Linked DNA regions of Saccharomyces cerevisiae S288C. Changing the gene in region 1 together with any one later gene gives a genetic interaction. Each region holds a gene or a part of one and is shown in the gene's direction. Other genes may lie near its edges.

What was found.
Region 2: mutations in SPO23 (region 1) and TIM13 together harm fitness more than expected from each alone (negative genetic interaction), as found in Saccharomyces cerevisiae (2 studies listed by BioGRID).
Region 3: mutations in SPO23 (region 1) and CDC12 together harm fitness more than expected from each alone (negative genetic interaction), as found in Saccharomyces cerevisiae (one large-scale study listed by BioGRID).

The regions. Positions count from the first base shown.
Region 1 is NC_001134.8:716,974-720,732, forward strand, and holds SPO23 (Spo23p), read left to right. Parts: upstream 1-2,059; coding exon 2,060-3,631; downstream 3,632-3,759. Other genes in the region: 3-deoxy-7-phosphoheptulonate synthase ARO4, read right to left, coding at 1-1,021. UniProt on the Saccharomyces cerevisiae protein: Regulates expression of PIS1.
Region 2 is NC_001139.9:856,377-859,259, forward strand, and holds TIM13 (protein translocase subunit TIM13), read left to right. Parts: upstream 1-1,910; coding exon 1,911-2,228; downstream 2,229-2,883. Other genes in the region: QCR9 (ubiquinol--cytochrome-c reductase subunit 9), read right to left, coding at 2,687-2,883.
Region 3 is NC_001140.6:326,382-330,140, reverse strand, and holds CDC12 (septin CDC12), read left to right. Parts: upstream 1-2,104; coding exon 2,105-3,328; downstream 3,329-3,759. Other genes in the region: GGA2 (phosphatidylinositol 4-phosphate-binding protein), read right to left, coding at 81-1,838; thioredoxin-disulfide reductase TRR2, read right to left, coding at 3,515-3,759. UniProt on the Saccharomyces cerevisiae protein: Septins are GTPases involved in cytokinesis that assemble early in the cell cycle as a patch at the incipient bud site and form a ring approximate 15 minutes before bud emergence, which transforms into an hour-glass shaped collar of cortical filaments that spans both sides of the mother-bud neck.

The DNA.
Region 1 (3,759 bases):
TGATGGAAACACCATATTTCAAGCCGGCTTTACCTTCGGCTGGGATGCCTTGGTTACCTTCGTTGATGTTTGATTCAATCATGACACCGGTAATGGCGTTTTCACCGTTAGCGATTTGCTCACAAACAACGTCATTGACCTTTGGTTGGTTTCTGAAATCCTTATTGGAGTTACCGTGAGAGTAGTCAATCATTAGACCGTTGGAACCGGCAGGCAATTGAGCCTTAGCTTCTGCAACGGACTTAGCGTCGTAGTTGGTACCCTTTTTACCACCTCTTAGAATAACGAAGCAGTGTTCGTTACCCTTAGTAGTGGTGATAGCAGCAACACCATGCTTAGTAACACCCATGAAATGGTGAGAATGAGCAGCGGCTTGACAAGCATCCACAGCAACATTTAAGGTACCATCGGTACCGTTCTTGAAACCAACTGGGAAAGACAAACCGGAGGCCAATTCTCTGTGCAGTTGAGATTCGGTGGTTCTGGCACCAATGGCACCGAAGGAGACCAAATCAGCCAAGTATTGAGGAGAAATGGTATCAAGCATTTCAGAACCAATTGGCAAACCGATATTTGTCAAGTTGACAAACAATTGTCTAGCGGATTGCAAACCCTTGTTGATGTTGAAAGTGTTGTTAACATCAGGGTCATTAATTAGACCTTTCCAGCCGACGGTTGTTCTTGGCTTCTCCAAGTATGCTCTCATAATGATGGATAAATCACCTTTTAATTCATCTGACAATTTCTTTAATCTCAAAGCGTATTCTTGAGCGGCTTCTAGATCATGGATGGAACAAGGACCGACAATGACAAGAACTCTGTCGTCTTTACCGGTAATAATATCTATAGCTTCTCTTCTACCTCTCTTGGCAGTTTCCAAAGAAGTTGGTGTGGCTGGGATTTGCACTTGAAGGAGAGCTGGAGAAGCTAATGGGTCGTAACCTAAAATTCTGACATCTTCTTCAGCACCTTGATTTACCTTTGGCATGCCGTTGGCAGCGAACATTGGAGATTCACTCATTTCTGATAGATTCTTTTGTTTACTAAATTTAGCGGTTAAATATATAAAATAAACGAATATAAAGAGAGACTCTTCTAGTTATTCTTAATTACTCTTATAACGATGCTAAAAATGACGAAAGAGGAATTAACACGATATATAGATAATATACCAATGAAAAGAAGAAGAAAGTATGAGAAAAAGTTTCTGTATTAATATGAAATTAAACATTGATTGGATTCGATCACGATGTATTCAATGAGCTAACAATGCGTCCCGCACATCTTTTTTTCAAAATTTCAAGCAAAATTTTTTCATTTCATCGTTGAGTCATTTCGCAGTAACGTACAAAATGCACAGGGTGCAGCGGGTGGGGCCACGTTTTAAAGTGATTCTGCCATGCCTTTGCCTTTATATTAAGCAACATAACTGCCTGACAGTAATGCAACTACACAGTGTTCCGTGAGACCGTTACAGCTTATGTTTACACAGCCTCATGCCCAATGAAAGAGTGTCAATATAAGGAATGCGCTTGCATATATACGAGTACATAATTTGCTGTTGATCACGTGATTCATAATTTTTTTATTTATGTGCCGATGACAATGTTTTCCATCACTTTCAAGGCTAGCTGTATACTGGCAGTTCGTGTTCAAAAACCTGTGTGGAGTTTTACCCTAGCATTCAGTTATGTCAGAAGTGTGTTTGGCATCTATGTTAGGCCAATTGTTATTGTTTTATGCGAATTATGTGGGTTGTGCAGCTGGGGTCAAAAAGAGCGAATGTAATTATATTGTAAACATTAAATCTGCACAATGGAATCTTGTTTAGCCTTTGTTTTTTTCTTTTTCTTTCTATTTCTTTTGTTTTCGATTTTGTTTTTGTGTCACAAAATAACTAATGGCGACATCGCAGTTTTTTGGGCGGCTGCATACTGTTTAATAAAAAGAAGTTACTGCTACCTCAAGATTTCTTCCTAAGCACTCAAGCCCATGTTTGCCAGTATTGTTATCTTGCAACAAAATCAGACAAATAGAATTTCCCTTTTTTGTTTGACTAATGTTGTTTTCGTCTTCATCTTCTTCACTTAATTCCGAGGTTTCACAAGTGTTCTCGGAAAATATATCTAGTAGATCCACTACTCTGACTGAAAGTTCCACACAAAGCGAGATAAGGCAGCATTTTGGTAATGAAGATTTCAGTGGTGAACTACCAAAAAAATTAATTCAACTCAAGAAATTAAAAAATGGTGGCACTACAATCAAGAAGGCTAAGGAAGACCTTGAGTATTGCTATGATTCACTACGGCTGTACGAAAATCCCTATGTAACATCATCTGTAGATAAAAAATGTGGTTACAGCATTGAATTGTATCTAGATAACAAGTACAAAACACTAATGTTCTCCGATTTACAATTGAATGCTGACTATCCGTTGTATTACGATTCCTCACTGGATAATATATCTACAAATGTTGAAAGAGAAAGAGCCACTCCTCTACAAATCAAAGGAAAGATTAGGATAAACATTGATAGAGAAGACCAGGCCCTCTTAATCACTTCCCATTCAATTTCTTTAAAATGTTTCACAAAGGAATATGCATGCTTTGTAAATTCAGAAACTAGCAAAAACTCCTATAGTGACAAAATTATCAAAGAACTTAATCACACAGAGTTTTTTGAGTCTTCCACCTACCCCAAACAGCAGTTGAGAGTCATACACCACTCATTAAATGATAAGAAAATTCTATTGACAAAGGGCACGTACGATTACCCATTCACTTTTACCCTTCAAGCAAATACTTTCCCAGCAAGTTTCTCTTCCTTCTTTGGCAAGACCCATTTTCGAATAGAAAGCTTAACAACAATAATGAGAATACCAAGTAAACCTAAAAACTTACTCAAATTTTTGAAGAATGAAAGTTTTACAGATAAGATCATTTTAACAGAAGAAATTAAAGTTAAAAGAGTCCTGCCTTCAACGAGTATGCTTAAGTTTGAAACATTTCAATTAAGGTCATACAATACTGCAAGTGAGATCGTAGTATCGGTCATTGGAAACTCCAAGTTGATTGAAATTGGTATGCCTTTCCAAATGATATTATCAATTACCAAAACAGATTCTTCCATTGAATTACAGGAAGCTTCTTTGGCAGTTGCACAGAGAATGGCAATACCAAGTATTGATTTGAAGACCAAGAAAATACTACGAGAGCCATACATTAAAAAGTCCGAGTATTTACTAAGAACTGTAGAAAGCCAAAGTTTCGATTCCGACAAGACCATTTTCGGATTTTGCTTTGATGACGTTGTCATCCCAACCTATGCGGATGGTCTACCGAGCTGGTTTAAAACATTCTACTGTGAACCAAGTTCATTTTATCCCAATCATGCTGCCCTCAAAGTAACTCATTTGCTTTTGTTCAGAATAACCTATAGCAGGAATGAATTGGTGGAAGGGCTTGAAATGAAAAAAAATTATCGTATTACGGTGAATTTTCCAATTTTAGTTGGCGATAGTGATATTTCGACCAGCTCTTTGTTACCCAAATATGAAAAATTTGAAAATATTAGTGATCTACAAGATGAACCCCCACTATATTCTATGGTAGCAGGTGAGAATAGCTTATGAATGTTCGGTACCTCAGAACAACGCCTCTATTTTATCCTTTTTTTTTTTATTTGCATGATATACATATACTATTTTTTATTAGTTTCTTATTCTACTATGTATTTACGTAACAATAAATTTACAGGTCT
Region 2 (2,883 bases), on another chromosome or scaffold:
TTTCCCTTTTTAAATGAATTTTTTTTCTTTCTGTTTCGAGACAAGGCCTTTTGCAAAAAAAAAAAAAGTAAAAAAGTGAAATTTGATAGTGTAAGGGGACAGAGGTGGGGTCAGAAACCAATGTATCTATTGATAGTCTTTTTTTGATCGAAAAGCCAAGAGACAAAAAATGAAGAAAATGAGAGATAAGGAATGAAACTTTAGGAACATTGAAGATTCAATCGCCGTTTTTATACGCCAGAGCTTCATGAGACCAAGGAAGGAACGGACGTCGTCTACCGATTACAGTAAGCAAAGAGGATGGTGTTGCCACAACAACGCCCATCGGGAAGGCAAGAGACGCTGTGGTGAACAATAACTGCCAAAACGTGGTTCTCGCACGCTGAAAAGCGCGTTCTCGTGCGCCGCTTTCAGTGTGCTAGAACTTGCACTGTCCGGTTTCCGGTGCTTGGTGTTGGGTGGTCGTACCTGCTAGTTCCATTGGTGCGGTGTATGGGCGGGTACCCTCAAAAAGGGAAACGAAGGTAGGCGCACGGTGCTTATTAAGCTCAGAGGCGACCTCGCAGAAGGGGGCAGACCACACAAGCGGTGGAGGCGCTCCAGATATTCAGTGGAGTGGGGCTTGCTCATGTTCTGTTGTTGGTTTTGGATAGAAAAAGAGCGGGTTGAATAGTTTGCCATGGCAACCACTCTGGAAGCGAAATCACATAGACGCGTAAACACTCACACACAGGATATTCGTATAGCAAGGTACTAGTGGCGACACTCAGGTGGTCCTCGTTGCCTTATCTCCAGATTCCTCAATTTCTGTGAAACGTAAACATTATGGGAATAGTCTAGACGCGTACTTCATTTTCTTTGTTTCGTGAAAAGTACACTTTCCCGTCTTCGCCGGTTCCCTTTCTTGCCTGAAATGCTCGTTCTAATGGAAAAAAAAAGAAATAAAGGTGGGCCTGCCCATTAGCAGGAAATTGGTACTTAATTATTGAAAAAAAAATTATTGGTTGCTAAGAGATTCGAACTCTTGCATCTTACGATACCTGAGTATTCCCACAGTTAACTGCGGTCAAGATATTTCTTGAATCAGGCGCCTTAGACCGCTCGGCCAAACAACCACTTATTTGTTGAAAGCGAGCGCGGTACAAGTAATGTTACCTCATCTGATATACAATAAAGGTGGAGCGCCAATATATACGCATTTGACTGTTCATAATTCATTGAATATAATTTATTCCTTGTTAGTACAAAAGGGTTAAACAGAAAAAGACGTGACGTTGTAACCGAGAGGATGGTAACACCGCGGTATCACCCACTCGCCCAGCCGTTAAATCCAATCATCCGAATAAAATGTTTGTCCTTGCTAGTTTGTCCTGGTGATAAAAGCCATGACCACTTTTCTTGGAGCCTGCATCTGTTATCTCTCCCGTCGATAATGGACTTTGCACCGGTGTATTACCCGCAAGAATTCTGATAACGTTCAAGCTAAAACAAAACTGCTAAATGAGTTCTGAAATGGCATTTATGAGTACATATGATAGATTTGCTATGTATCAAACCTGGAACTGGCGCTAGCGCTATGGTTTCACTTCCTCATTAAACCATACCCTTGACGATTTGACAGGTCGCTACAGATTCAGAAAGAGATCATATCAATACAACAAATAAAATATAAGCGAATAAAGAGCAATGTCTTTCCCCTTTAGTCACATTACTAGCCAACGCTAATTCTTGATCTCCTTCCTCTTGTTTCCGGTGTATCTTAGTTTTCCTGGCGTTGCCGAAGAGTAAAAAAATCCTAGGTCCTAAGATTTATAAAATCGACAAAAAGAGGATTCAAGTAGGATATCTGTCAGTTCAAACCAATCAATCTTTTCTCTCCAACAACAGTTTGAGCTTATTTAATCAAGAAAATGGGTCTATCATCTATCTTTGGCGGCGGTGCACCATCACAACAAAAGGAAGCAGCCACTACTGCAAAGACAACCCCAAACCCTATAGCCAAGGAGCTGAAAAACCAAATTGCTCAAGAACTGGCTGTGGCTAATGCGACTGAATTAGTGAACAAAATTTCTGAGAACTGCTTTGAAAAATGCTTAACTTCGCCATACGCTACCAGAAACGATGCGTGCATTGACCAGTGTTTGGCTAAATATATGAGAAGTTGGAATGTCATATCAAAGGCTTACATCTCCAGAATCCAGAACGCCTCCGCTTCTGGCGAAATCTAAACACACCATCAGGATCAATTTACTGCGCAGTATGTACTCGTACTTGTATATAAGATTCAAAGGATACCAAGAAAATGCTATTACGTTTAATAACGTCGAAGAACAGTATTGCACTATACTTGCTTGGTATAGATATGTACAAAATATATGTATATACATAAAATGAGTTATTCTTTTTCCTAATTCTCTTTTTCCTTTAGTAGAATATAAAATTATAATAAGGATTTTGTGAACATCTGACAGACAGGCTCGTTCGTGTCTATTTCCATTCTGAAATTTGAATGCGCTTTGGCGAGACATAGATTTGTGTCAAAATATGAAGTTGAGTGCCTTTATGAGGTTGGGTTGAACATGAACAACCAGCCAAAATAAAAAAATAATAAATAAGACGAGTGCCACTTATATAGCTTGAGAGAGAGAGAGAGCGTTTGCACGTATATGTGTGACATAATCAGCGTTTACTCATCATCGTCGTCTCCATCGCCTGCAGCTATTCGAGCCTTGACATCTTTCCATAATTTTCCTTTGTTGTGATTCTCGTACCATGAAGTAATAGCAGTATCAAATACAGTTTGGAAAACAAAGGCACCTGCAAAGATAGTACCAACAAAAACAGCGTTTCGTTTGAAAAAGGTTTTATATAGTGATGAAAAAG
Region 3 (3,759 bases), on another chromosome or scaffold:
TAAGATTGTCTACATAGAGGTATTATCCTTCTAAAAATATACATAGAGAAGAGAAAGGATTGATAAGAAACGCCAGAGGATTATACATTAGGTAACGTAAAAACAGCAGTTTCTTCAGCTTGGGTGGAGTTGACAGAATAGTTGACCTTCCACTTGACTTTCAAAGCCTTTGAAGGGTTAGCTGGCGCATTTTCAATTGTACCTTCTTGAGAGATACCATCTTTAGCGTTGCCAATCATAAAGTTACTCGATTGGGGTTGCAATTTCAAAGACATTGACTTAGGGACTGCTAATAAGAACACTAAGTTGGAGATCGGTGACGAACTTAAGTTTGTAAAGAACGATTTTATCCTTATAACTGAGTTTGACTCCCTAGATATTTCGAACTCAATCTTCAAGTTAGGAGACTGATTGACTAGGGTTCTTGCGGGCGCAGTAGTAGTACCTGTTGTTGGATTAAATCCCATCAAAAGATCGAACCCACTACTGTTTACTGCTTGGGAATTAGTTGGCGATTGAGGAGTTGAAAGTCCCAAAAGATCTAAAGTGTTGTTCGAGTTGTTAGTAGTAGTAACTGGTGGTGCGGGTTGAGAGGACCCCAACACGATATCGCCTCCCAGACCAAAGGATGCTTGGTTAGCGGTTGAAGGGTTCGAAATAGATAAATCGGTCAAATCGCCCAATAAGTCATTGACAGATGTTTCCGCTGCTGCTGGTGTACCCGTGCCGTTGGTATTGTTGTTGCCTTGAGAGGGCGCTTCGTCCAAATCATTGAAATCGATTAAGTTGATTTCATTCGTTAAAGCACCAGAAGATTGTTGTAACGGAGCAGAAACATGACTTGGATGTATCTGCGAAGCAGCGTTGGAGTCACCGTTTTTCAATAAGTTGAATTTTTCCAATAGTTGATTAACTGTATCATTAAACTTCAATAGATCCTGCACTAACGCATCGTCTTCCTGTTCTTCCTCAATGATCTTTTGAAATTTTGGTTGAGCTACCTTTAATGCACTGTGAAGTTCTTGTGTAGTTTCGTTATCCCAGTTTTGTGAGTCAGGTGATTCCAGCATTTCATTCAGCAAATCGGCTTTACGCTTCAATTTGTTCAATTCACTGGAAATAGCCTGTTTAGCTTGAACGGCATTGTCTTCTTTGAACCCTGCCATGATTTTCATTAATTTGTTAGCTTCCCTCAAATCTTCAGGTTTACCACGCCTGATCAATTCTTCGAGTTTTGCAGCTTGAGCAATTTCCTGCTCCTTTTGAATTTCACTAGCGGTCTTCAATTGATTACTAGGCTTCAAAACTGCTAGGTCGGATTCACTGATTTTGGGGAATGCATAACCCTTATATTTCAACAAACGGTGCATGTCTCTAATATAACCCATATCATTCTTGTAGCTTGAGTGTTTACAAATTGTTTGATACCATTCTTCAATAGCAGTTAAAATCAATCTCTGAATCTTAGAATAACGTAATGGTGGGTGACCTGGAAATCTCTTGACCAGTTCATTCAAAAATTCCTTTCTAGAAATTTGCAAGTGGAATGGGTATCCACAATTCTTGACAAGCACGTCTAATAGAGATAACGCGAATATTGCCACGTGCGATTCTCTATTGTTGATCAGTTTAGCAAGTGCAATGGCAGCATCCCTAGGGGCAGCGCCCTGTTTTTCATTAATGTAGTCAGCAATGTCAAGATTCAACGCCAAGTCTGGTTCAGCAAGTGACATTCTGCAAGCTCTTTGAATCTTCCTCAAAAGAGGATTGCCCAAGGCTTGAGGTTTCCTGACGGGCAACTCAGACAAATATATGCTATGTGAGTGCGGATGGGACATGATGCAGTATCACGATTAGCAATTCAGCTATGAGTTATGTTGCTCTTTGTTTTGTTTATGGAAATTGTCCTATGGTAAGTCTCTTTTTTTTGCAATCGTGATTACAGAAAAAAAACAGGGCGCTGGAAAAGTGAAGAATCCGAAATTTTTTTCGAAATCACCATTGTTTGTTTTGAGTAGATCAAAGTCTTGAAAGGTGCAGCAAGATATAGGATCTTGACCTGAAGAGTATTGATAACGAACTACATCACATATTGTATCAAATAATGAGTGCTGCCACTGCGACTGCTGCCCCTGTTCCTCCTCCTGTAGGGATATCCAATCTTCCCAACCAGCGTTATAAAATTGTTAATGAAGAAGGTGGTACATTCACCGTGATGTTATGTGGTGAGAGCGGATTGGGTAAAACTACATTTATTAATACCTTATTTCAGACTGTCTTGAAAAGGGCAGATGGTCAGCAACACCGCCAAGAACCCATCAGAAAGACTGTAGAAATCGACATCACAAGAGCTTTGCTGGAAGAGAAGCATTTCGAATTACGCGTTAATGTCATCGACACCCCAGGTTTTGGAGATAACGTGAATAACAACAAAGCCTGGCAACCATTGGTGGATTTTATTGATGATCAACACGATTCTTATATGCGTCAAGAGCAGCAACCGTACCGTACTAAGAAATTTGACTTGAGAGTTCATGCCGTTCTGTACTTCATCAGGCCCACTGGACATGGTTTAAAGCCAATTGACATTGAGACTATGAAGAGATTGTCAACCAGAGCCAATCTGATTCCAGTTATTGCGAAAGCTGATACATTGACTGCCCAAGAATTACAACAGTTCAAGTCCAGAATCAGGCAAGTAATAGAAGCTCAAGAAATTCGTATTTTCACGCCTCCATTAGACGCTGATTCTAAGGAAGATGCCAAAAGTGGCAGTAATCCAGATTCTGCCGCTGTTGAACATGCAAGACAGTTGATAGAAGCAATGCCATTTGCCATAGTAGGGTCTGAAAAAAAATTTGACAATGGGCAAGGCACTCAGGTAGTTGCAAGGAAGTATCCTTGGGGACTTGTGGAAATCGAAAACGATTCTCATTGTGATTTCCGTAAGCTCAGAGCCCTGTTACTGAGGACTTATCTATTAGATTTGATTTCTACCACCCAAGAAATGCATTACGAAACATACAGAAGATTAAGACTTGAGGGTCACGAGAACACCGGGGAGGGGAATGAAGATTTCACTCTTCCAGCAATTGCACCAGCAAGGAAATTGTCACACAATCCTAGATACAAAGAAGAAGAAAATGCATTGAAGAAGTATTTCACTGACCAAGTCAAAGCTGAGGAGCAAAGATTTAGACAATGGGAGCAAAACATTGTTAACGAAAGAATCAGACTGAACGGTGACTTGGAAGAAATTCAAGGAAAGGTAAAAAAACTAGAAGAGCAGGTCAAAAGCTTGCAAGTAAAAAAATCCCATTTAAAATGATGATTAATTAATGTCTTCCTCTTTGTCTCGTCAATTTCAACGCCTATCTCTTTGTCTCTTCTTTTGTCGCAGCAATACGCACATATATATATGTATCTTATAAAAATATTTCAAATATATCTCAAAAAACATAGAATACGTAACACAATCGAACAGTAAAAACAAAAATAAACCGGTTTTTTCACGTTACTCTTGGGCACTTAGGTACCGTTCTGCATCCAAAGCAGCAATGCATCCGGAACCAGCAGAAGTAACTGCTTGTCTATACCTAGAGTCCTGAACGTCACCTGCAGCAAAAAAACCTGGCACAGAAGTCAGAGACGATCCAGGCACAGTTTTTATATACCCCGTCTCTTCTTCATCTACTTGTCCTTTAACTATATCTGTGGCAGGGCTGTGACCTATTGCGTAAAATAGTCCATTTACTTCTA